Linked DNA regions of Styela clava. The protein of the gene in region 3 purifies or fractionates together with the protein of the main gene of each other region. This does not show direct contact. Links are inferred from orthologs where the notes say so. Each region holds a gene or a part of one and is shown on either strand. Other genes may lie near its edges.

The links.
Region 1: the proteins of cell division cycle 5-like protein (region 3) and small nuclear ribonucleoprotein Sm D2-like fractionate together in Homo sapiens (co-fractionation; 3 studies listed by BioGRID, with this or other methods). This does not show direct contact. The link is inferred for Styela clava from reciprocal best matches to the Homo sapiens genes CDC5L and SNRPD2.
Region 2: the proteins of cell division cycle 5-like protein (region 3) and splicing factor 3B subunit 1-like purify together in Homo sapiens (affinity purification with mass spectrometry; 5 studies listed by BioGRID and IntAct, with this or other methods). This does not show direct contact. The link is inferred for Styela clava from reciprocal best matches to the Homo sapiens genes CDC5L and SF3B1.
Region 4: the proteins of cell division cycle 5-like protein (region 3) and small nuclear ribonucleoprotein Sm D1-like purify together in Homo sapiens (affinity purification with mass spectrometry; 4 studies listed by BioGRID and IntAct, with this or other methods). This does not show direct contact. The link is inferred for Styela clava from reciprocal best matches to the Homo sapiens genes CDC5L and SNRPD1.

The regions. Positions count from the first base shown.
Region 1 is NC_135253.1:644,758-651,572, reverse strand, and holds small nuclear ribonucleoprotein Sm D2-like, read right to left. Parts: upstream 2,197-6,815; 5' UTR 2,041-2,196; coding exon 2,036-2,040; intron 1,182-2,035; coding exon 1,002-1,181; intron 890-1,001; coding exon 706-889; 3' UTR 513-705; downstream 1-512. UniProt on the Homo sapiens protein: Plays a role in pre-mRNA splicing as a core component of the spliceosomal U1, U2, U4 and U5 small nuclear ribonucleoproteins (snRNPs), the building blocks of the spliceosome.
Region 2 is NC_135251.1:15,526,372-15,534,110, forward strand, and holds the start of splicing factor 3B subunit 1-like, read right to left. Parts: upstream 3,016-7,739; 5' UTR 2,915-3,015; coding exon 1-2,914. Other genes in the region: ERI1 exoribonuclease 3-like, read right to left, coding at 3,622-4,359. UniProt on the Homo sapiens protein: Component of the 17S U2 SnRNP complex of the spliceosome, a large ribonucleoprotein complex that removes introns from transcribed pre-mRNAs.
Region 3 is NC_135252.1:11,955,311-11,962,376, forward strand, and holds the start of cell division cycle 5-like protein, read right to left. Parts: upstream 3,010-7,066; 5' UTR 2,932-3,009; coding exon 2,783-2,931; intron 2,335-2,782; coding exon 2,130-2,334; intron 1,429-2,129; coding exon 1,290-1,428; intron 1,217-1,289; coding exon 1-1,216.
Region 4 is NC_135254.1:11,227,648-11,233,910, forward strand, and holds small nuclear ribonucleoprotein Sm D1-like, read right to left. Parts: upstream 1,378-6,263; 5' UTR 1,320-1,377; coding exon 948-1,319; 3' UTR 519-947; downstream 1-518. Other genes in the region: uncharacterized protein LOC120344877, read right to left, coding at 5,056-5,247. UniProt on the Homo sapiens protein: Plays a role in pre-mRNA splicing as a core component of the spliceosomal U1, U2, U4 and U5 small nuclear ribonucleoproteins (snRNPs), the building blocks of the spliceosome.

The DNA.
Region 1 (6,815 bases), on a different chromosome or scaffold from region 3:
ACAAAGAATTGATATCTTTCGTCGTGATAGTTTTATTTTTTCTCGTCGAGGTCTGCGTGCCAATAAGAAATTCTTCACGCATTTCTCTTAAAAAAAAACGGGGAACCACCGCCTAACATTATATGTCAGCTTGTAACCGTTACAAATGGACTACGCCTACTTTTAATATAAAGGTAATAAACATCACCAATTATCGTACCAGAGAAATATTTCCAAAGCTGATTTTATTTAGTATAACACCATATGATCGTTAACTTTCTTTCAATTTGGAATAACTACAAGCGAAATTGTCACAAAATAATATCAATGAATAAAGTTAGTTCACTGGACGCATCAAACACCCAATATACTAGGGCTGAGAAATCTTATTTTTTGTTGCACAGAGCTACGCTCAGATACACATCTAGTTTTTAATATCTAAATATCAGTTTTCAAAGAATCCCAGACGCAGTGATAGTTTTCTTCCAAAATTGACTGCACACTAATACTATAGCAGACTCGACGCAATACAATTTGAAACAATGTCTTCTTTTTATTGAAAATCAATATAAAACCATGATTGCAGACTTCTGGCTCCTGTACAACATATATGCGCAGGAATACCTGAAAATTTGTCTTCAAGCAGGTTGATAAAAATGATATTCGCAGCTACAGCAGTTAGGCATCTATATGTCAAACTAGATGTAGCTGCGAAAAAAAAAACAACTAAGCCTTGGACTCAGCTGAAGCAAGAGGATTCTTCAGCACAATAATGATAGAGTCTCCACGAATAAACATCTTGCTTATAAAACGATCACGATTAACAGGCTTCTGCTTCGTCTTTCCTTTACCAGTTTTTGGAGTTTCTGTCCACATCTCCTTCACATTTTCCAGAACCATATTGCAATGCCTGTTAACAGAGATAAAACTGTTGTTGCATGAGAATAAATCAAATCTGTGTGGGAACTTACAATACCGTTTCATATACTTTAGCAATATTTTATATAGCAAAATCTGCTTACCTATCGAATGCTTTAACTCTAGCAAGTAACTTTCTGTTATTTCTGCAGTTGATCAATATTTGTGTATTGTTTTTCACTGAATCAGTCAACACTGATAAAGGACCAGTTTGAAATTCTTCTTTTTCTCGTGCCTCCAACTCCTCAGCAGTCATCTCACTCCTTGGTTTGTTTGCAAGCGCACTGTAGTTGTCGAATTGAATACCGAATTAGTAAACTGGAGCGAAACGTATAGGAAAATATGGGGTAAAAGATATTGTCAAGCTGTCTATATTTCAGTATTTGAGAGTCCACTTACTGCCTTATGCAGTAACTTGATACCAAATGGGGATTTCTGTATTGCCTAGTTCAGTCGTTGAATGTATAAAGCGGTCTGGCAGACTGGAGGTGGACTAGACCGCTTCACTCACAACATTAAAGCTGTAAAGCCAAAACAAGCATATTTCGAGTTCAGATTACAGGATTATATCAAGTATGAAATGTTAATATCAATCAGTAGAAGTAGGCTAACTATCGTTATAAATATTGATAATTACTGAGTTACTATAATTAAGGCTGTTAACGGGGGTCTTACTACTGTACTACTTACTGAATACATCGCATTACAGAGGAAAACAGCGCGAAACAGTGGAAACCAGCGCAAAACAGGTGACACAATTATTACCACTTCATGATGGCACCTGCCACGAAAGAATCACGGTACCTCTCGCCATGGTTTTATAGCGCTACCCGTATTACCTGTATATTCACGTGGTTATGTACCGGTACCGGATTTTACGTCATCATTTTTTGGGGATTTTTTTGGGAGGTACCGGTACCTGCGGGTCTTTTGACTAAAATAATGATTAAAAACCTATTTTGCAAATAAAACATGGAAATATTATATTGCTCCTAACGTTTCATTTTTGTAGTAGAAAATTTCCAAGGGCTCCCTCAAACATTAACTAACCAATGATTCACATTGTCGCTATTTTTCTCATGCAAAATCATGTTGATAACTAGTTTATAAAACATAAAAACTGTTATATTGTACTCACGCCATTTTGCAGTTACTCCGTATGTAGATACAGATTAAAACCGATTATGATCCAGCAATGACGCTGAAAAGAAAATTCCACTCACCAACCGACAAGCGAGCTACGAGTACGAGCGGCAAAAGTAAGTCGTATATAATATAGTAGACTCCAATCAGTAATTTCGTTTCCCCGACCCTTGACCCCTTAAAAATTCCAATATACCGTGAGACGAGGCCCTCGAAAACGACTATAAAATGAGTTTCGTATCGCACATATGGTAATATAATAATTTTTTTAGTTTCGTATGAAAATCAACACACTAAACGCATTACAGCTTGTTCCCATTAACGAAAGTTGCACATTTTCTGTAACTATGCAATTCAAGAGTCCTGCTGCACACTTAGAAACGTTTCGTCTGACCAAAATCAGACCTCCCTAGCCAAGCAATTTACAACAAAGAACAGCATAAGAAGTTGCGTTTATTTTACAGAAGCTATCAAACGCATTCATCTTTATGCAATGAAGTCACAAATTAACACGAGAGCACGAATACACAAAAAAAATCGATTATATATTCGCTGTTTTAAGTTTGCAGATATAGCTGAGCAATACCATAGTCTATACTTTATAATATATACTCTATAATGTATTCTTAAAACATCTGAAAATCTATCTGCTTGAACTCAAAACGTCAGTTACGATCTTTTGATCTTCGTACAAGAAAATGTCAAGCGCAAAAGCTCCACTGATCGTCAAGCTGCTAGTACCTATACAGTTACCAAACTGCCCGAAAGTAAAATGTCCGACCTGGTAACAGTGCTTGAGAGTGAAATATTAAAAACTCTGAGACTTGAAATACCAACCATCATTAAACAACCCATGGAAAGGTTGGCCCATGATGTTTCTTTACTCTCCCCCCTCTAGTATTGGCATCCAGGAGTCGTTGTCATCACTAGATGAATTTCTGAAGGAAGTGAAATCTCAACTATCCCTCTGAAGTGGAGGAGATAAAAAAAAGCCAAGACTTCATCGCAAAGAAACCAAAACGAAGTTATTACCAAAACCTTATTGTCCAAAACAGAGGTAACCTTAGATAGATAGATAGTTTATTTCGAAAACTCCATAACAAACCTAAATTAAAAATGGAGAATTCTGGAGGGCAAGCAAAACCTACAAAAAAGTTTAAAACATGAAGTATCTCATGTGCCTGCCCACCAGCACGCACACCTTAGATCAACATGGCAAATATTTAACAAAATCAAAAACACACATAATAAATCAAAGCAACAAGTTGAGGAAATCTGTCTGAAAAATGGCAGTATCACTAGGTTTGACTTTTCGATTTCGAACAAATTTAAGTACTTCTGAACCATTGGGTCCAGCCTCTCTGAGAAGTTTTCAAATGATTCGGGTAATTTCAAACATCTTCCCCATAATCGCGTGAGCAAGTCCATTTTTATGAGTTTGGCTACCGCAAATGAACTGTTGGTAGAAATTCAAAATCTGAAGGTTAGGAAGGCAGTTGGGCCAGACAATATTCCGGCCTCAAATATGTTGCTGACCTTGTTGCTCCGTGTCTAACAGAGTTCTTTAATTGCTATCTCTCACTCGGCATATTCCCTTCATCTCTCAAAATTGAGCGGGTAATTCCTCTTTTTAAATCTGGAAACAAAAAACTTGCTTCAAATTATAGACCGATATCTATTCTTTCATCGATTGATAAAATTTTTGTTTGTACGCTCAATTCACAAGAGGCTTACTAGTTTTTTCATTAAATATGTTGTCATGAATTAATCTCTATTCGGTTTCCAAAACAGTTTTCAACATCGTATGCCATTTTGGGTACTATATTTTTTATATATGACAAACTATAAAAAAAGGAGTTTGTTGGTGCAACCTTTTTAGATTTGAAGAAGAGCTTCGATACCGTAAGGCGTAAATTGAGCGGCAGATCACACAGTATGTTCAAGTAGGTACAAATCCTTTTCTTACCGGTGTTTCACGGGTTCCCACAAGGTAGTTGTTTAGGACCTCTTAGATTTTTTGTATTTATTAATGACATAACTAGGGCTGGGCATATTCGAATACCTGATGATTCCAGAATCGAATCGAATCTCGAATACTTGAGATATATATAATTGTATACAATTTTTTTTATTGTAACTGATTCTTTCAACGAATGAATTACTGAAAACGTAGAATACATCACTCAGACAAATTGCGAGCGTTCACACGCAATAAGAAACACGTTTTATCAATAAATCACTACAGAAAATAGTCATATGTCTGGAATGCATTGAAAAAATAAGGCTTCAATAAAAAAAAAATTAAGGAATATACGTTGACCATTGGCGATGAGAAAAAAAAATAAGATGGCGGCGATTCGAAATGCCCAGCTCTAGACATAACTCGTTGTTCTTCATTATTTTCCAAATTGTTTGCCGATGATACCAATCTCCTCGATAGTGACAAATCTCATGTAGCCCTTCAATAGAGAGTGAACACTGAAATTGCAAAAGTAGCAAATTGTATGAGAGCCAAAAAACATCGATAAATCAAAAACTATGGTAATTAATATCACCAAATAAAAGTAAAGCTCAAAATAGTCTGACAGTCCAAATTGATGATACAGAACTTGAAAATGTCAATTCATATATATATCTTGGTTTATATATAGATAACAAAATGAAGTGCATGGGACGTTCAAATATCTGACCTGGCTGTTAAATTAGCCAAGTCAGTGGGAATACTATACAAGCTTCGACATTTTACATAGCTAACCACTTTACGTATGGTCTCCTATTCTTTATTTCAATCCCATATTCAATATGGTATTGTGGCGCGTGGTTCAGCAGATAAAACCTTATTGCATCGCATCGAAATTCTACAGAATCAAGCGATTTCAGATGTAGAATATGCACTCGTCTTAGTCCTATTTATCGTAGACTTGGTTGATATTTACAAAATTGAAATGTTGAAATTAATGCACCATCACCACCACAACGAAAAACTTCCTCCAGCATTCACTACCTATTTTTTAAGCAGAGTGATGTGCACTCATATGGAACACTCTTATTATGTAAATCGTTTTTCCACCAAACTCACCCAAAATAATGGTTCTCCTAATTTCTTTAGTTCCTATTACTAATTGTTGTTCTCTTCGTGATTGTGTTTTTTGGTTAATTTTCTTTGAAACTTGTTTCTTCCCTATATTTTCTGCTCAATTCAGGTATCGCTGATTAGACGACTAATTGAGTTTTTCGCGACCCCTCATCAATTGTTATGAATCAGTGTGTTCCCGTATTTTTTTATTCTTGTGTGCGTTTATTGCTTTACATTGATTCTTGCACGGTAAAATAAATATCTGAATCTGATTTTTCACTGAGAAATTTACACGGAAAAGTCAAGAAAATTGAGGCCCCAAAACAGAACCTTGTGGTATAAACATATTAACATGTTTTGACGTAGACCTCACATTACCATAAATGACATATTGCATACGTTCGCTTATGTAACTTTTGATCAGCGCCATGGTTTACCTCGTATACCATAATGATGAATTTACTGCAATAATATTGAGTGATCAATGGTGTCAAAAACCTTTTCCAAGTCGACATAAATGTTAACAAAATGTTTTTTTTCTCCCAATATTCATATAATGATTAAGGATGCCAAGTATGAGTACTTACAAGTATTCGATTCTTATCCGATTCCTAAATTTTCGATTCCGATTCTCGATTCCTCGACATATTACCGAAAAAATATACCCACCCAAGCAATACCATATGAAATCAAGCAAGACAGCGATGTTCAAATTCTGGACGGACAAGAAGGCCGAAACTAAGTAGTATGGGTATCCAATATGCCACAGGAGACAAAACCGCACAAAAAAAAAACGAATCCCTCAAAACCCACAGAGATTTTTAAAATAAATAAACGTTAAAGCCTACTAGCGATATTTATAATATATATATTATATATAGTGAAGTTTGTGGTGTCGTAGCAACTCAACATAGCAGTGAAGCAGTTTATACATATATATATATGTGAAGAAATTGCCACTAAACGTTACACATTGTTTGCAAACAAAGTTTCAAACTCGAGAATCGATTCCGGTGCATGGAATCGATTCTGTAATCGAATCCGGACTCGATTTCGCCATCCCTAATAATGATGAGTAACGCTGTCTAAAACTGCGTGAATAGTTGAGTGTTTCAATGTAAAACCGAATTGTTTATCTGACAAAATATCGAATTTGTCCGAATATTCTGTCAATCTGGAATGCGAAAGATTTTCAAAAACTTTCGATATAGCTGTGAGCACTGAAATTGGTTAATAATTGCTCACTATGTTTGGATCTCCTGATTTTAACACAGGTGTCACTTTTGCCACTTTCAGGCATTGAGGAAAAACTCCTTGCTACATGCATGCTTTAAAGAAATCTGTAGAGTACTTGCTAATGATATAAATCATAAGATTTGGAACACGAATATACAGACCGTCCGGACCAGAAGCTTTTCTTGAATCCATTTTGTTTACAATGGAAATAGTTTCATATGCTAGTATAGGCTCCAGATAGATTGAATTTTTCTGAGGTTTTCCCAAATACTTCATAGAATTATTTGTCAGTTTCGATGCAAGATTAGGACCAACATTTACAAAGTAAGTGTAAAATTCGTGGCATATGAACTGATGGTTGCATATGATGCCATGAGTTGTCTCAATTTCGTGTGGAAATTTTCGTTTACGTTTCTTATTGTTGATTGTTATGATACGCCCCAAACAACGATATTTCATGCTT
Region 2 (7,739 bases), on a different chromosome or scaffold from region 3:
GAAGGTACGGTTTTACTCTTTTACCCAGGGTGTTGACCACAGTACCAAAACCATTCAACATCACAATGTCTTCTGTTGTCTGTTCCTGGAATGCATACAGTATACCATCAATCAATTGCTCCTCAAGTCTGTGATCAATATCTGCTGAACCGAGATTCACCAAAATTTTGTCTATTGTTTCCATAACCATCTTTCTGTATTGTTCATTTTCATCTTTAAGATCATCCACAATCCGTTGCACCATTTCAGCTGAACCGACTTTGTTTGCAATTTCAACTGTTGTGTCAACTAATTGTCTGTAATTACGTCGATCGAGAGCCATTCTCTGGTTCCAAAAATGCTTGAAAAAGGGAGGCAGAATTTCATTTTTAATGTACTGGGGTTCAACACCATCCGTTCCACAACATTGCTTCACCACTTTAAGTACAATTTTCTTCATTTCTTCATCAGGTGACTGAAACTCTCGAATCAGGATCAACATTACTTCACGAGTGTAGTAATTTGCATACTCGGCATCCATAAGTGGAATGAGGTACCCAATAGCCTTTAAAAAAGCTGCCAAACCTTTTCCTCTATGAGTTCTGATACCTTTCCAGAGAGGTTTCAGCACACTGTCAAAGGATTCGATACCATAAGGTGTTGCAGCTTCAGCTAACGCAGCCAAAGCAAGGGCAGTGATGGTTCTTACTTTCTGTTGTTCATCTTCCAAACCATGCTCGATAATTTCAACTAAGTTTCTCAAATGTGGGAGAATGGCACAACCCATCAAAATAGCAATCTGTTGTGTAATCTTGATTCCAGTGTGACGTGCCTGCCAGGATTTTTTACTCCTGCAAACGGCTTTCAGAAAGGGAAGCAGGGAGGGAATTCCAAGGGCAGATGCGACAACAGCAAAGGCTCTTGCAGTCGTATTACGCACATATTCATCCATGTTGTCAATATCAGGTCTCATTACGGAAATCATAGTAGCAAGTCCAGCTGCTTTTGCCAAATTTGAAATAATCTCACGTCCCTCCACTCTGGCATAATAGTCTTCATCAATCAGAAGTGGTTCAATGACGACAAGAATTTTATGTACATATGGCCGAACCATATCGTCCAACTTGTAAAGAATCCTGTCGATGACTTTAACGAGAAGATGACGCTCTTGATCTTCAAGAGTGGGTGACATGAGCAATGGCAAAATTTGATTGAACAAAGGTCCTGCACCAAATTCCCGAGACTTGTCTGTTATCTGACGCAGTGCACTTTTTCTCATTGGCGGCGTGCCATTTTTGATTTTGAGTAGAAGTTTCATTATTTTTCTTTCTTTTTGTTCCTCTAAACTCAATGTTGATTCATCTACTTCAACAAGTAGTTTGTCAAAATACTGAATATCATCAGGTTTCAAGAATGGCAGATTCCCAGTCGGCTGATCAGTAATTCCTTTCATCGACTTGTCTTCAACCTGGATATGAAACCCAGTGGATCCTCCCATTGGGGTTGGAGTTGCAGTAATTTTTCTTGCAGGTGTACGAATAGGAACATAACCAGCTGGTGGTTGCAAAACTTTGTAACCTTCAGGGAACATTCCGTCAAGCTCTTCATCAGATAGTGGGCGATTTCTTTCATCAATTTCCCGTTCCCACCTCCATGCTTGAAGTTGCTCAGGTGTCATGGACATCAAATGACCAGGAGTTGGAGTAGCCATAGCCATTGCTTTTGTACCCATGGGTGTGACACCTGAAGGGGTAAAGAGTGAGGGTGTTCCTAAAGAGCCTGGTGTTCCCATTCCTGATTTTGGGGTGAATGCGCTTGGAGTTCCACCAGGGGTAAAAACTGGAGTAGCAGACCCCGGTGTTTGACTTCCCGGTGTGGCAGCAGCTGGTGTCAAATCCCATCTTGATTTTCTCTTGCTGGTACCACCAGGAATTCTCTCAGATTCGTCTCCATGATCAGCTCTTGGTGTTTCAGCCCATCCAATATTTCTGCCAGGGGTTTCTCTTTCCGTTTTGGGAGTTTCATCCCATCTGTTTTTCCTTACACTTGCACTCGGTGTACCACCGATGCCTGGGGTTGCATGTCCAGGAGTTGTAGCACCTGGAGTAGCATGACCAGGTGTGGCATCCCACATTCTGGTACTTTGTCCTGGTGTTACCATTGCTCCAGGTGTTTCGCCACCTTTTGGTCTGCCAGGTGTTTCATCCCATCGCAATGGTGTTGGTGCATGTCCAGGAGTGGAAGCATCAGCCTGGTCCCATGTCATTCGTTTTTTTGGTGCATCAGGGGTTGGAGTTGCATCCCATCGCCTCTTTCTTTCTCTTTGAGCAGGTGCAGCGTTAGGTTGAACAGCTTTAGCATTTCCATTTACATGGACATCACCAGACTTCAGCTTTTCACTAATTTTCGATCTAATTTCCCGTTCTTCTTTAGTAAGAGCTTGGTGTGTCATAACATCTTTGTACTGCGCCAATTGAGGATCAGGTGTTTTACCACCATCAGCAAAAGGATCATGACGTGCAGGAGATATAGCTCTTTGTAACCTTTGTCTTCTATATTGGTCTTCCCTGTTTAGAATAGGTTGTGCTCTAGTTTCTGCAAAAGGGTCATAAGATTCATCACTCTGTGGGATATCGTTAAGAACAGCTGCAGGAGCAGTGTATGTCTGTCGTTTTCCCAGTAAAGCGGCATTCACATCTTCAACTTCATCATCATCCTCTTGTTCATTTGGAGCGATGGATGTTACATATCCTGCAAATTTACTATTCGAACCGCCATAGATCTCCTGATCATAATGACCTTCTTGACCGAGTCCAACTCGAGCTTCACCATCTGTTGGTTGTTCAGGGGAACCCTCATCTTCATTCTTGCTCAATGCAACTTTCCTTTTTTGGATCGCCTCAATCTCAGACACATAATCATCCTTTGTTGCCATTTCGAGGCAACGTGTATTTGAATACCTTTAATACTATATTTTTTAGTGTTTTATATTATTCTAAAAGATAAAAAGCAATAAGTTATTAGCACTTTATTAGTTTTCGATAAGCTGTGCCTGTAGGCAGTATAACTCACTGCAAACAATTATAAATACTTACAGTTACAAGCGCCAATGCAATAACATTCAACAAGACTGGAGTTCATGATACACCAGTAGTTACCAAGATGGCTTTTAACACATGTCCTACTTGGCCAAAACAAACAATATTCAGCCTGATATGGAGAACAATGGATGACTTAGGAGCACTAGAAATTTTGAACATAAAGCTCATCTGGAACTCATACATTTGGATCCTTTCAAATTAATTATTTCAGCGCAAGTATCAAAAAATTATAGAATAAGCTTGTTAAAAATTGCTTGTTGGATTTCAATAAGCTATTACAAAAGAATTAGGTACCTACATATTCACTATATCTCAAATTTCCCAAAAACATTCATGAAATATTACAAACCGAATTACCAAATCAGTTTTTAATAGTAGATCAAAAAACAGTTAAGACCAGATGTGGCTTATTAACTGTAGTGTTGTAGTATCCCATTTAGCTACACACATCAACTTGGCCCCAAAAACCGCACTCCACATGGGCCACTACACCCTCAACAATTACAATTTTTGAGAAATATTCATCAATTTCACTTCAGTCCTATGAAGTTGATGTTGGCTTAAAAATATGACCTTTTTTAGACAGTACTTCCATAATACGAATCATGTTTTCGCAATCACTCGTACCTTGGTGAAGTTCACCAAAAACTTCCAAGTCTAACAATCGCAGCATAGCATGGAGTCGACCTTTGCCAAGTCTAGGCCATTTTCCCATCGTTAATGCATACGACTTGTTTATATTTACATAAGGATAAAAATATTTAGGTAAAGTCAAATTTTTCATCTTACATTCACTGGGTAACATTTTCATCAAGTCCCAATCACCAGATGTACAAAAAATAAAGTTCTTATTATCACTAAGGACATGTTTTTCCATCCAAATGTCAAACAATTGCATAACTTCTTTTAAAGTAGGCTTATCATCTACTTGGAATTGAGTAATTCCAGTTAACTGCATACAAAATTCTGATAATATTGGTTGTATAGTTGGTCGGACGAAGGAATGAAAACATTCTTCGATTTGATATGTTGATGAATTAACTTTAAATGCTGGAAATTCTATAATCTCTTGATCATAGGTTAGTTTTGATCTCTCACAAGTTGCTTCAAAATCAAGAACAATGAAATAGTCATATATCTGATGCCTTCTCAAGTCTTCCGGCTTCTTCTGCACAAGATCAGTGAGTAACACTTGTTTTTTCCTTGATATATTACGGCAGCTCAGTACGAGTGGGAAGAAACTTTGAGCTCTATTGTATTTTTTCAACAGAAGCATCATATAACTTAATTTGATCAATAGAAAAAAAAATATTCAAATAAAGTACTTATAATGGATGAAAATTTGGGGACCGGGTCCACTCATTTGATTAAGACGATGATCGCGTAATAACAGTTGCGTTTTTCTGAACTAATTTATAGTTTTGTGAGCAAAATAAAAATAACTACCCGTGGTAGTACAGCACCCAATACCTGTGCATACCTGAGATAATTGTGGTGGAATTTAGCTTAACAATGTCGATGGACCAAATCAGTGGTTGCCAACCTTTCTACCATGGTGGAAAAATTAAATAAAGTGTACTCGCAGACCGGCAAAAATTGAAATGAGTGGAACAGAACATATATTTGCACAATGTCGGACAATCAGTATATACTCTTCAAAAAAAAAGGGTACACTTAAAAACATTTCACATGAGGAAAAACTATCAAATAATGTGCAGAACAGAAAGAGCGCGCATGCTCATTTTCAGATTTTGGAAACTTGCGAGATTAGACGGAGCGATTCGCGATGAATCGGAACCGAAAAAGCGAAAAGTGTGATTACTCGGCGCCAAACGTCACCGGGCCATACCACACCTATCAAACAGCAATATGACGGCGGAAGAGAAATTGCGTAATAAACCAACGTAACTACCTCTTTTCGGCTTCAGTAAAGCGATTGGGGCGGTAGAAAAACACATTAAAATTTTCGCGGACCGGCGGTTGGGAAACACTCGACTAAATGACACTTACACTGACGATAAACAGTCAGGATTTATAACAAAAAATTAGCGGTGTTAAAAAGTGTGTGTGTTGTTAATGAGGACTTCTGGACTTCGATTTTACTGCATAATTTAAAACATTTCACTGGACGCCTAGCTGCTCTGTCTCTGTGCTTTCCAGTTTACCACAATTCATAGATAGGCCTATATGAATTGTAATGTTCATATCGGTACAGTAATACCGGTACAGGTTTCTTTTCCTAGAAGCAAGAAAATCACTAATTTCAATCATATCTGACTTACCATTTGTCTGTTTGTACTTATGACTGTTTTACAATGATACATTCATAAAGCTGTAAAGCCTAATTCCTATGTACTTGGATTTTAGAAAACTGAATAATATTTATGTCGGTACCTGTACCGGTACCTATGAAGCTATGTCTGTATGTGGGGGATTTTAGAATGTATTCGGAATTCCAGATTTGAAAATATTTTTTAGAATGTACGGGTATTCGAAATACTGAAGTATTAGATGATGGCCATCACTGTTAACTTTTCAAGCTCTACGTCTGTACATCCTTATATCGATACACATGTCTGCATGTAAACACCTGCAGACCTGTCTGTCTGACATTCTGACATTACATCATTATGTTTTCTGCCAAAAAGGTAAAAAATCTTGAGCCACAGCTCTAGTAGTGTAGTAGCAACTTTACCACATCATTTTTTGTATGTATAATGTACCGCACTTATTCCTCCTCCTAATCCACTTCTTCCAATGAATAATAGAATTTGGGGCCAAACAAATAGTGGCCAGCCCGTAACTTCCATCGACCAACGCTACATGGCAAAACGTTTTTCATGCGTTTCAGTATAGAATAGAAAGTATGTTGCCACATCTACACTTGTATAAAAAAAAACGAATTTCAAATATTTGTACCTTTACGCATTAAAAGTATTTAAAATTAAAAACTTACTAAAATAATAAGTTTAATACACATAAATTAAAAGTATATCAATAACATTTGAAAGTTTGTATGCGTGTATTGGCTGTAGTTTATAATTTAACATGGGTTGTTCTCCATTCTATTTTTCAATTATTCCCCGAAATTAAGTTCCATTAGTATTCCAATATTAGCCCTATAAGACTCATTTTATTTCTGACTTTTAATGCCTTCATGTACAATATTTTACTTGATAGGTACTCTCAAAGCGGGAACACTCAATTTACCTTTAGGCACCTCCTCTCAAGTATTTGTACACCTATCTCATTCCAGCGAATCGATGGAGTAGGCTATATTAGCAACATCTATGGGTGTTCATATTCACTGGAATCATACTATTAAATTTACAGTACGCGTCATTCAACAATATAAAACCCACAAAAAGCATATACTGTATTATTTTGCATATTCCAGCTTAAGCTCAATTTTGAGATCTTGCAATTTTTATTGTTTTTTTGTACCTTATAAACTGTCGTTTTAATTTATTTTGTTACTTTGTAATGATTTTGTTTAATGATTTATATATATGCTGCGCAATTTTTTCACTATTTACACAAAATGTTATTGTGTGTTCTTCAATCCGAAATACCCGATTCCACACAATTTATGCTCCATTTACTCAAAAATACTTATTCATGTCAAATTTGATCAATACCACACTTGATCAAGTGTGTAACATTTCCGAAATTTTATTTAGCGTTAAACGCCTATATGTTATTGCCTATTGTGTATTTCCTTTCCATGGAAACTTAATGTTGTTTTTAGACACACCTGAAATACGTTAAAACATATCTGAACCATTTTTTATTCATGTTTATTGATATTACTATCGGGTGGTAACTGACCCGATGACCGCATGGTCGTATCGTTGCCACCCAGTCAATACCGAAAACTGTTTTGCTTTTTGATAATTATGTTTTTTTGTTGTGTAAATTTTTTTCTGGTGAACAAAACAAATAAACTCTCACTCTCTGTATTGTCTTTCGTGGCCGGAAAGCAGAATGAGTATGATTGACTTGAATGAAAAAACACTTGTTTGTTGCTTTAAAAAATATATACGAAAATCAAGCAACAAAAAATTCTACATATACAAACATATTGGGAATGTAACAAAGTAAAAAAATCTTCAAATGCAAAAAGAGACCTATAATTAGTGGTTCAAATGCGTACTGATATCAATCCACATTATAGGTGAAATCAAATGTCACCGACATTTGTCACCGGTGGACATGATAATTTGTAAATCAACAGGCGAATGTCCATTCATCAACATAGCTCACATTTGACTTGGAAACCAGTGAAAAACACCTCCACAACTACAGGCATTATTGTGACGTAACAATGTAAAACCAAACACAAGTGACGTAACAACTAGCTTGACGTGAATCTTGCTGGATACGTTCTTCATCCTCATTCTCTATCAGAGATGTACTGGTACTACTTTTGCTGCCGATACTGACAAGATACCAACAAAACAAAAAACGCTGATACCGATATGCCGATATCATCGGATACCGATATTCCGGTACTATGTAATTATTAGCTCACGTGTGCAGGGCAGACGGTCTGTGAGCGTTGTTTGTATGTAGTAGTAGTAGTAGTAGTAGTATTTTATTTCGTCAACAATGTCAAAATCAAAATACAACATACAACATTTCAAAATTAATTTCCAAGGC
Region 3 (7,066 bases):
TCTCGTTTTATTTCTTCTTCAGCAAGTTGAAGCGAGTTTAAGTTAGCTTTGGTTTTTGCATTCATTGGTCGAAGAATAGTTTCATTTATTACGGAAGGTCTTGGCAGCTCTCTTTTTATAATAGTGTGCCTTTTCTCAAGTTCAGCCGCTCTAGCTGCTTCTATTTTTGCTTGTTTTTCTGCCTCTATTTCGGCAGCATCTTCAATAAAATCAGATGGAATATTATCATGATGTTCCTCTTCCCCTTCACCATTCATATCTTCAGGAAGAACAATTTCAAAATCATTTCTAGGCGCAGGTAACTTTATGAGGGAGGCTTTCAAATGCTGTCTTTCATCTATTCCATCAAATGGAGTGGCTCCCCCATCTGAACCTTCTACATTTATGTTAAGTTTATCCCTGACTGGTGTCATACCAGGTGTATTTCGAATGCTAGAAGCCGGAGTCAGCATACCTGGTGTCGCTGCTGGATTTTTATCAGCAGGAGTTTGAAAGGGTGTAGAAATAACTGTATTTGGTGTTTGAATGTATTTCTGTTGCGGAGTGATCCCGGAAAAATCACTATCGGTCACTTCTGTGTTCAGTCCACCTTTCAAAGGAGTGTCAACATTGGACAGCGCCATTATATTTTGGGCTTCTTTCATAACAGTATCAACTTGCATCATTGGTGTGCGCGGAGTCCTCATTGCAGATACGTTTGGAGTAACACTGTAATCTGCAAGTAGAGCATCAGAAGCAGCATTTCCTTCTTCTACAACTTGTTTAGCAGCTTCAGAAGCTTGACCAAGCTTTACAACTTCTTCTAATTCTGCATCAGAGATCTGTGGAGCAGGAAGCACAAGTTTGGACCGTTTCTTAACTGGTTCTGTCGGCTTAGCTATTAGAGAAGGCAGCTCTTTATCCTTGACTTTTTGTTTGTCTTTTCTTCTTTCTTGAGATTCCTTCTTTTGTCTGCTGACATCATCAAGATGTTCCTGTCTCAAACGTTTGAAATCTGGATCATCTGGATTGAAGGTCTCATTAGAAGTATCATGAAACCCTGCTGCAGGAAGCTTACGAAAAGGAATTTCCTCATTATAATCAACACCACGTTTCTTTCGCCTCCTTTTACGAACTCCAATACCAGCTGCACGAAGTTCTCTACGTTTTTGAAGTGAAGCCAATCTTCTGGCTTCTTCCAGCTGCTTCTCTCTTGCTTTTCGCTTTGCTTTTTTACCTGTAATATTTCAAACATTTAGCCAATACTGTATATTGAAATTCGCATAATTTTAATAATAATATCTAATGACCTTGAGTATTCGCAAGTCTTGCTCTTGCTTCACTCAACATCTCTAATTCATCTTCATCCATATCAATTGGATCAGGCCTGGCAGGTTTAGTTTCTGGTGCTGGATCAATCTCTCCAGGTTTAAGCTTTCTTGGATCATCCTGTAATATGAACGTATTTCATAAAAGCTACACATTACAATTATATGCATGACAAAATGGAATTATCTTAGTTTGCCGACCCCCAATCTATAATTACAACTGCATTCATTTTTGACTTTGTGATGGGTCCTTTGCATTCGAAAATGTTAATTAAACAGCTGTTTGCAGCATTGAAAACATGCATAAAATTCCAGAAAGGTTGCATAGTTTTGTGCGTATAACATTGGGTTTTAGAAAATCATGCACAGAACATAAACATCTTTTTTCAATATCACCCATTTCATCCAACCCAATCTTATTTTAACATAATTCCGGGGCATCTAACACCCCCAAAATATAACACAATTTTGAATTTAAAGTTAGTATAGAACTAGTAATGGAATTTTTTACAATTCATTAGAGTATAATATTTTCAAGATTCGAATGGCCTTGCATTCTGCATATCGGTATTCGATTACTAGTCAATACAGAGTTGAGTCTGGAATAACCATCTAACATAGTGTGTAAAATACGGAACATGACAAGTTGGTTCACAAAAGAAAACAAAATCCAGTAGTAGCTTGTTATATACTGTCAACGTTTAGAAGAAAAGCTCTCATGAAAAAGAAATTCATCCATTCAAAATTTTTTAAATTTCAATAAAAAATACATAACCAATTACATTTGAAGTAATAAACATTTAGTTATAAAACATGGCAAACCTGAGCATCGTCATCTTCATCCTCTTTCTGAGCAGCTTTATCAAGTAAATATTCGTAATGTTCAAGGCATTGTGCTGCTGTTCTCCCTACTATTGGAGCAATTGTACGCCACTGTGTCGGCATCAACTTGGCCAAATGAAGAAGCTTCTCTTCTTCCTCTCTTGACCATTCTGTTTTTTTGATGCTCGGATCTAGCCATTCGTACCTACAAAAAATCATATTATGTCTGAAGTCTTTTTCACCAGATGATTAGCATTTTTTGTGTGAAGTTGTCCCTGTTCTGCAGTTACGTATCCATATAAAATGGCACCCATGGCAGAGTTAAGAAAAGCCCCCTTCATCGCTAGCTGACAATTTTCAATGGCTGATTTTGAATTGAGATACTTGTACTTATCATTTCAGTAAAAACATGAGTTTTATACCCTACATACGCCACTGGGTTGTCCTAAATGAAAGGCCATCATTGCGCTGAGAATGTCAAAATATTTTAAATTTCACGTAAAATTTGAAAAAAAAACTTTTTGCAGTAACTGTAGCCAAACTTGTTCTGCAATGTTTCGCCGTGCAATTTTAATGAAAAAATATGGTTGATATCAGTGTCAGAGCAGTTCACAATAGCAGCAAGAGTAAAACGATGGTTCTTTTATTCTTACCATCTAGCTTTGCACTGCTTCGCAGACTTTCTGTGAAGTAGAGAAGCAATACGAGACCATTGATTCAGACCATATTTCATTACAGCAGCTTTCAGAATTTCATCTTCTGTGTTCCGCCACACACCTCCTTTAATTGTTATTCTAGGCATTTTACCAGTGTATCACTGTTATATTATGTTTAGGGTAAAGTAGACTATAGAAATGAAAGAAGCAGTAGCTTAACGAGTTGATACAGTAATACCGTAATGGTTAGTCCTGTCCAGTCAGCCAGTTACTGTTACTATTTCCGGTACCTTGGCCTGAAGACAGAGAACCATTTTTTTGTATTTCTGTACCATTTGTAACCGTACTCTTGTACTCGGAGATGTGGCGCATCGCGCACCACGGGCAGGAGGCCGTGGTTCGCCATGCAGCCATGTCAGCATGTGATCAAGCCGTCTTATCGTTTTCCCTCTTCTCCGCGATATATACGGTACCGGTACGGTATGGCGCGGCGGTGTGGCTCAACGGGCTAAGCGTTAGGAATACGCTTGCCACCGCACCTCTAATTACTCTGCGTGGGTTCGCAGGTTCGAATCCCATGCAGGGATGGTTATGTGCGAGAGGATTGCTGGACTCCTTGCCGTCGTTGGGTGGTTCACGTAACCGCTGGTCGGTTACGGCTTCCTCCACCACCAAGTCCATGCTTCCGAAAACAAACAATACAGTAAAACTAATCCCATACCGGTACCCGACTTGGAATGGTAACCGGACGAGAGGCCGTGGTTCGCCATATGGATACGCCGTCTTATCGGCTTTCCTCTCCCCCGGGATAAATATGTAAAATCCTATCCTATGTAAATCCTACCTCTCGTTTTTATGCGTTTCTGCCAAACCGTTTAGCTTATTGTTGGATGAAGTGGTGCGTTATCAGAATGCCGAAATAAATCTTACTGGTAGCCTATATTGTAGTACCGGTACTACCTGACTGTAGTAAGTTGCAATTCGCTTGTGTGTTTAAAAATTACATCAAACGCAACTAATAAAGTCAGTCAATGTAGTCACCAATGCACTGATGATAGACTTGCGAGTTGTGGAGTCAAACTTTGGCATGTTTTTGTAGGAGTCGTATTTGCAAACTTGTCAGAGTCGAAATTTTGAATTCTCGGAGTCAGAATTTTGGATATAAGTTTATTTTAACCTTCTTGAAAAAAAAATACACTAAACAATGAACACGCAAAAGATTGGAAAATCGAAAAAACTGGCAAAACCCGTGATGTGGTTTACAACACGCAGAAACACATGTGTCAGTTTACCCATATTACACACATAAAAACCAGTGGCGGCGCGTGGTCATTTTGACAACCGGGGCAAGCTACTGTGGGACTAAGTCACCCCCATCTATGGGGACAGAATGAGCGCTGTAAGTTCTCCCATCATTTTATGAGTATAAAAACCATTCAATCGTTTTGAAACCTCTTTCAAAAGGAAAGGCAATATTTACCCAGATAAATACAATGACATATTAACAGAAACTTCGGGAAAGCAGACAAAACCTAAAATAAGGTTTAAAACGTTACTATGAAGAAAGGAAAGCTAATGCAAAGATAAAGACAGGCGTCGCTCACTCATGGATATATATGCTGCTAGACTTCTACTGCTTGAACATATATGCAACACGCCGCGGTTTCTTGGAAGCAAAATGCTCAATAACGCGCTGATTAAAGTCATGCATCCCAGAAATAACGTCTCTGTGAATGGATAAAACAGCCAAGGAATTTAATCTATCTTGCTTCATTGTGTTTCTGAGATACGTTTTATTACGCTTCAGCGTGCTGAATGTTCGCTCTGCGTCGGCGGAAGAAATAGGCGTCGTCAAAATGATGTCCAGAAATTTTGCAGACGCCGCAAAGGTAGTTACTAGAGTGTTATCTATGAGGAACCCATAGAGCGCGCAAGTTGATGTGATGTTCAAAAAAGTTTGATTGGTGTATATACATCGCAATTCATTTTCCAATTTACCCACGTTTAACGTGGGGTAAAATTTGGAAACAGTAGCCAACAAATGGATGGGAAATTACCGTGCAAATTTTAAAAAATTTTTGGGATTCATCAAAGAGAACGCGGCAAGGTGTTCAGTGCGCAGACGATCGCCTATTTGATTCACAAGAATGTCACAGCATTCCTTTGCAGACAAAATCAAACGCTGCGTTGTTTGCCCGCGGCGTAAAGAAGCACTCCATGTGTCGTCGTATTTTATTGTTTCCCGGATACGAGATACAGCATCGCAGAAGTCTGAAATACACGACTGCACAGACGCTCCATCCATTAGCCTTGACTGCAATGCGCCGTATAATACATCCACGTGATAGAATATTGTGGAGAAAAAAGCGAGAAAAAATTAAAAACTCACCATCTTCTAGCAGACGCTTTAGACCTGCCGCCTCCCTCACAGAGCGTTCGTCCCAAACCGGATAGCTCTGAATGCCATTGAAACACTCAACGAGCTCAGACCTAATTTCGGACACGCCCTGCACCACGCGTGATTGGAAGTTTCAACGTGTTGGTGCACAAGCTGGGAGACGGCGGCTACATATCTGGCGAAGGAGGTCAGAGCGCTTCGGCGAAACGGAAAAAAATGAAGAAAACCCCGAAACATTTGCAAAAAATATACGGACGAAAGGGGTATCAAGACACATATTTTTAATAACGAGGTTAAATTGGTGTGCATAACAATGTAAAAAATGCGCATGAGGAAAATCGTCTTTTAAATAAACTTGAACACCATGTTTCGACCCACTCATGACTGCCGCGCCGTCATAAGTTTGAGCTATCAATTTTGACTTCGCGTTGTAAGGCTGTAACACTTTTTTCAGTACAGCCGATATCCCGCAAGCCGTGCGATCAACGATTGGTACAAAGCTGTGAAATCTCTCGGTAGGTTTACCATCTTTCACAAACCGAAAAATCACAGCCAGTTGGGAAACGCACGTGATGTCAGTTGTCTCGTCAGACTGAATCGAAAGGAACTGGCAATTCTCAATTTCCAGAGCCAAATGTTGTAAATAAATTTTATACATTGAGTCGAGCAAATCATTTTGGATATCCTTAGATGTCCCTTTCGAAACAGTTGCGGCATCAAGATGATCTCTCAATACTGTATCTAGGGATGCGGTGTATTCCACCATATCCAAAAATACCCCTCTATTAGAAGAGCCAGCCCGTTCATCGTGCCCACGGAGGGACAGCTCGTGAAAACCAATGAACTTCAAAACATCTATCAATCGACCGAGAACATGGCGATTTTTCTCGACGTTTTGGTTGTGCCGACGAATAGAAACCGCGCGTCCTTCATCCAACTGTGCTGCAATATTAACATTTCCGAATGTTCGGTATTTTACTGCATTGTCCAGATGCTCCATAGAAGATTGATGATCCCTGGCACGCTCGGAAAGATGTTTAAGATCTCTAAAACCAAATTTACACCAACGTGAGTCACGGGCGGTAGCAAAAAGTAGGCAATAAAAACAAAAAAGTCCATTTTTGTCCTCGCTGTAACACAACCATTCGTGTTTTTTTATACCAAGTTTCTGCGCAGAATGTACGCCGACGCTTTCCTCCGTCATGGGATTGTTCCAGTGAACAATTTTTTGGTTGATAAGGCCCAAGACGTTGTACCTCTAATTTTTGTTCCAGCGGCAGCTGCGAAAACGGAGTGCGAAGTAGTGCATCAACCTTATTCATTATGAGGTCTAAGGCTAAGAAATGCGAAGCCGGAAAGAAGTGAGGAGCTCAAAAGGAATGTGGAAAATCGAAAGCAAATGGACTAAAAGTCTCTAACTGATTCAAATAGCGAAACAAGCGACAAAAACGAAGGCGAGGAAACTATCAACTCTTCAAGCAACCAACGAACGAGAAGGAATGCGTGAATATGTCAACACGTTGTTGTAAGAAACGCCGGTATTGTGTCGTCATAATTTCGGGGCTAGCCCCGATCGGCCCAATGATTTAGTAAAAGAAACAGAAAACAAACGAGCGAGTGGAAGATAAAAGAGAGAATACGATATACAATGAGCAAAATCGGCGTCGCCCCGTCGACGTTCGGCGAAGGCTTTGCGAGCGAAAAATGAACCATGTCGGGAGAATATGGCTAGTGTAGACGGTCTGTGCAACCGATATTGAGGTATTTTTCGAATATTTTTTATTATACCGAAAAAACAACCGGGGCATTGCCCCGGTTGGCCCTATTGACGCGCCGCCACTGATAAAAACATATATTAAAGTAAAAAAGAAAAGTTTATTTTG
Region 4 (6,263 bases), on a different chromosome or scaffold from region 3:
GTTAATATCTTTCAAATAATATTTTAAAATTGTTAATCAATATATCAACTTTGATTGGTGTCTGATTACTGGGGGGTTCGGGTTGACTGAAGTATTTCAGTCCAAGCTGTCGAACCCGATTTAAACAGGCCCATGTAATTCCGTGTCATTCAAAAATATGGGAAACATTAGTTCTGTCAGAAATAAGATATATCTTTCTGAGATATAATCTAGTTTCCACAACAGCTAGATAATTCATAGCAATATGTCCAAGTAACTTTGAGGGAGTACCGTACTATTCAACCTGCTTGCTGAACTCTCCTAACAAATTCAACTGTCTGGTGGCGGCGAAAAATATTTGAGAAAGCAGATGATTGCAATATCTGATGCAGTTACAACTTCTCATACATAATGAGCATCATAATCTGTGGAAACCCGTTTCAAAAACAAGGCATATTGACTTGCTGAATACCTCTAATTTCTGTCAGTTTGGAGAACAAACATTAGTTCTTCACGCATGCAAAAATTCAAAAGAACAATTGTAAAATATTCATTGTTGTAATACAGTAATAAAATGATTGTAAATCCCAATGAAACATGGTTGAAATGAATTGCAAAAGAACAATTTTTCTTTTAGGAATAAGACTGCAGGATGAAATTTTTGAAAATGATTGTAAGTCCCAATGAAACATGAATTTTTCTTTTAAGAATAAAACTGCAAGATAAAATTTTGGTGTACCGCAAATTTCTTGTCTAGCATTAGATAACCAGACAACCAGGGTTGAAAAGGAGTTCCTTTAGCCCTGATTTATAATTGATTATCAGCAAGTACAGTCAAATTACGATAAACAGAGTGCCAATATGATTATTTTGAGCTGCATGAAGTCGAAAGGAAATTTCATTGGTCATAAAATTGTTTAATAATAATCCCAAATAACTCGATATTCAAATCCAGCATTCTTATTATTTTAATATCTCCTTGGTGGGCCACCTCTTCCACGACCACGCATTCCTCTTCCGCGACCACGGCCTCTACCACCGCGTCCTCCTCTGCCTCCACGACTGTCTCTGAAGGTTCTTGGTCTAGGCCCTTCATCTACGAGCAAGGTATCCAATGGAAGAGAATCCGGCAATATATAATAACGAATATTATTGCCACGAATGCTGAGTGTCTCCAAGGTGACTGGCTCCCTGTTCTTAACAGTCATTTTAACTGATTTCAAATGCGTATTCATACAAATATCTACGCCAGTGATGGTGCCATGCACCTGGGTACCATTTTTCAGTTCAATAGTAACTGTCTCATGGCTGAGTTTCATCAAAAATCTTGCGAGCTTCATAGCTGAAGTCTGCGAAAAACAGAAACGCAACAAACACGCCAGTCAACGAAGCGGGAATTATGTTTTACAACAGTGCCTAAAGTGGTCAGTGATAACCTTTGACCGCATATTCCAGTGAAGTCGTAATGAGTTCATTTTGACTCCATATTCAGCATAAAAGACGATAAAATAATAATAAGAAAATAAATAAATAAAACTGATATCAGAACCGGAAAGCGAACAAAATCTTTAAGTAAGGGCTAAAACCGTAGTAGTATATATTTACGCTAAAACGTACAAATTTCAGATTAGAAGGTGTTGTCAAAAGAAGTAGTAGCCTACGTGCTTGCTGAAGTCAAGTTAAGTGAAATTTATTTTTTCCAACCAGTAAAAAACAAAAAAACATGCAAAAATATAAAGAACCAAGAGAGCTACACCCAAATAGAGGACTTACACGGGTCACGTGACCTTGTTTACTGGACGGCAATAAAACAAAAACGTCCATTTGGCTCCTGTCAGTTGCAAGTCGGATTATACGTTTCCGTTTTGTTTGCCTGTTGAAAATGGTTATTTCGTATTGTTCCGTTGGCTGTACGTAAAGTATAGACAACGAAATGGATCTTCAGTTATATTCCACTGATTTCAAAAGATCCGGAACGTCGCGCAATGTGGATATTATCTATTGCCTATTGGCAGAACTGCTTGGTGTCAAGTCCAGAAGCCATCTTACCTGTGTTTCACTGTTTGCAGATAGCACTTCGTTGACAGTGAGTGATAGTGTGCCGATATCTTTTTTTTTAAATATTCACAAGCTCCCTCATTTCAATGGAAAGCAGATGACAAACTACTGTTATTAGTAGGCCTAGGCGTGGGCCTACTTGCAGTTGCAGACTTGACCTATGTAAGACAATAAAGAATTATTAATCAATTGCTATAAGGTATTGTTTCCCTAATTAGCAGGTAATCTATTACTAAGTGTGAAAGGTTGAATAGATAACTAAAGTTTAACACCAGTGGTCATGCAAAAAATAACCAGAATTCAATTGAATTCGCCATCTATGAATACGCTCGCCACCGCCTCTCTGATCACTCTGGTAGTTTCACAATCCCGTGCGGGGATAGTTATGTGCGAGAGGATTGCAGCTCTACTCCCACCGAGGGTGGTTCACATGACCGCTGATCGGTTACGACCATTCCCCACCATCCAAGTCCATGCTTCTGAAAACAAATAACTGGCTCCCCTTGTGTGACAGCTTGCGTGACTTGATAATACATTCTCAGTATCCATTTATTGATGCTTATCGTAATGACATAGTAACTTGTGATTACTGTGGATTGGTGGAGATAAAGTGTCCATTGTTCTTTAACGAAAGCAACTTCAAGACGACCCTATCAAGAAAAAAAATTGTTTTGGTGGGTTTGGTAGGGAAGGTTTTAGTCAAACGTTGGACACCGATACTACAACCAGATACAGTTGCCAATGAAACTTACCGAGGCGTAATATTTCGACTTTGTGATCTGAAAAGAAATTCTGATGGGTAGCCGGCTAGCCGCAACTTTTTTTAAAGAATATTATGAGATATGACTTAAGAGTCTAAACTTTTATTTGAGAGGGGTGTAACCCAAGATAATTTGCAAATGGTATTCATGGTACCAAATGTATCACACACTTTACAGTAATTATAAATTATATTTTAAAAATAAAGCACATCAAAAATGTATTTTTAAAAAACAATTGGTTTTATCTGCAGATACTAGGTTGATATTGACCATTTCAATGCTAAATTTTCTTTAGTCAAAAGGCACACTTGATTCGCAAAGATTTGAGAATGCGCACAGTACACCAATTTGTCTAATGTTTTGATTCCATAGGCAGGAGGTTGTGGATCGGTGCTGCTCAGGATGGGATATTTTTGCCTCTAAATGCATATTACGTGTTTCACATGAATCCATCGTGCTCAGATTCGACTGTTTTCAAGGTCTGAAGGCTCCAACAGCCTTATTTCATGGGTACACAAGAGAATTTTCATTGTGGCATGCATGAGTCAGTTGGAGTCACTAACCTCAAGATATATATAAGCAAGGATAAGATAACCTGAAAGTAACATTCAACAATTTAGAGTAACAAATGTATCTGCCTCCACAGCCCTTTCAAATGGAAGATATGATGCCTCGGGGGTAATTTATATCAAATATTTTACAGTATTATGGTTCTAGTGAAAAGGGGTGTAGGCGGCTTTTTTTAAATTGTGGTAGGTCTAGTCGAAAGACACATTGAATGTTTATGCTAACAACTGCAAATATTGCAACGCATACAAGTTAACAAAATTTGTTGAAATGGTCCTGCCTTTTGCCTTTCTTCAAAATCCCCCTTTTTCTAAATATTCTCTTCCACTCTGGGGATGGCGAAAATTCAAATATTGATGGGACATATAAGCAGCTGATAATGGGTTATCTTCCCTTTTCCTGAAAATAAATTAAACACTAATCATCATTTGACAGTGCCAAGTTTGTGTATCAGATCAGTAATAAATTACCTGCTAACTAACAAAACAATAAGACAAACAACACCTGATGACCATTAATGAAGATTTCTTTCAATTTAAAACGCAACTATGCCTACCAATGTGGGTAGTTTTTAAGATATAATTTATCTGTGGTTGGGGACAGATCGCAAGGTGCAACATCGTACGATTACCATTCCATGTCAGGATTAGTTAGCCAGTTATTCGTTTTAGAAGCATGGACTTGATGGTGGGGGATGTCGTAATCGACCAGCGATCGTTTGACGAGTTCTGTTCGAAATAACCGTGTTCTTAAAATATATGACGGGGGGGGAGGGGGGGGTTCGCTGTTCCAGCCACCTTCAGCCTGAGATGAATGAGGAGATTGGGAGATTGTTGGTAAAATATTTTGCTTAGGCCTCCGTGTTAATATGTTTGAGCATTGCTATCTTGTATTTCAAATGTTCCGACAACAACAGGACCCGCCAACTGCATTTCGTGTTAAAGTCAAGGTTCGCATGTGACGATTTGCTTTATTTAAACTTAAAGAGTGCACACATCTTTCAGAAAATCATCAAATGGGTCTACAGTACTGAATATCATAAGTTGAAATTGTATTCAAAGCATTCCATTTTAAATGCCAATGCATTAAATTCTATAACCCCTATGTCTACCACCTCTTCAAACAAATCAATTTATTTTATATTTAAGTTTGCCCAAAGCAAAGTCCCGAACCCTAAAATAAAATTGTAAAGATTAAGTATAAGAAAATTACAGACGAGAAGTGGAGCGTCAAGGGTCATATATATGTTTCCTCAATTGATAAGTAGGATAAACTCGAAAACAAAAGCATCCATATGCAAATAAGTGAATATGTACTTTTCCAAGGCTTGCGTGAAAAAAGGATGTGGAAACCCTTCAGTAAAAAGTTCTAAAAATAAATTGTACTCAAGAAGAATACACTATATGACCGGACTCAATCCTACATTCTCCTTTTTGTGTTGAAGGTTTATTTTGAAAATTTTACAGCGTAAAATATTCAGTTTCTAAATAATGTGAAGAAATAATACATCGCCTTCACAATATCTTGCCTAAACAATCAAGCGTTTGGTAGAATGTTTATTCAATCGTTCTTTCTTGATGTGCCATAAAAAGTATTATATAAATGACAAATATTGAAAAAATCACATAAAAGTTAGACGCTCGGTCCCCTCAATCACGCCTTATAAAGACGGCTCATTTGTTATAAATCGTCAGCGTTTACAAACAACACCATTCGAATTAGATGTCGGCGGTGCGTTGTACATGCCTTCACCCCACCAAGCAAAAGTTGTAAGCCCAGCTTGTAGAAATACGTTTGTGTACATGGTGAATTCATTTCCAATCCTGGGTTGATATTGAGCCCATTTCGTGTAGTTTGTAGATGTTCCGATAACGGCACCATTCTGAAAAATAGATCAACGATTAAACTGAAAACAAAACATTTATAGGAAATAAATTTACCCATGGTAAAATGGAAATGGAATAATAGAAAACGGGTTTCAAGAATTTTGATGACTTGTTCGAATAGTCCATACTGCTCACAAACAATGTTTTTCATCAAATCTGCCTCACATTCGGATGATGATACAAGATATGATCTATCGTGAACTTTTAAAGGATAGCCTACAATCTCACATTACCCAAGAACAAAAGATGTCAAACGTTCCATCAAATTTAAGCAGATGAGACCTTATTTTGCTTTGAATGAAGATATAAAACAATTTCTTTTTATATGACCAGGAAAATGTGATCTACTGTAGCCTGGTTTACGAGTTGACTTTGACATTTCGCCTTGTGCGAGCGCGACTAATCCGAGTACGGTATTTTGATATCATCCTATGCATGTGAAGCACATGATGGAACCTATAAAATTCCTTTGTGTAGTGCCTTCGGACTCCGTTGACCCCACTAAAAACCACTGTAATAGAGAATTGATCAAATATCAATAACTGGTAATAGGCTTGCACGTAATTGACAAAAATCAATTCCGTAATTACGGCAAAATCAATTACGTAATGACCCCGTAATTGCGATATTTTTTCACGCATTTAAACCTATCATAACAACCAATTGAATCCACTTCTTTTCCGAATGGGACATTAAAGTTGGGTTTTCATATTCTTGGCAATAATACACGCCGGTGGCAGATGTTAAAGACAAATATCAAGGAGTGAATTCAAATTAATTTTATTCTGATTTATATCGTTTGTGTTAGCTTTGGTTTTCCTTTATCACCTTCGCAAATTGACCGTCCCATTTTTATGCCATCAATTTTATCATTACCGACACTGGTATACGGATATTTATGGAAACGATAGTTTTTTTAAATCGACTTTCGTACTGAATAAAAATTACGGGTTTCCAATTTATTAACCAACGACGAGAGTATTCTCTCGTTTGATTATACTTGCGATTTCCT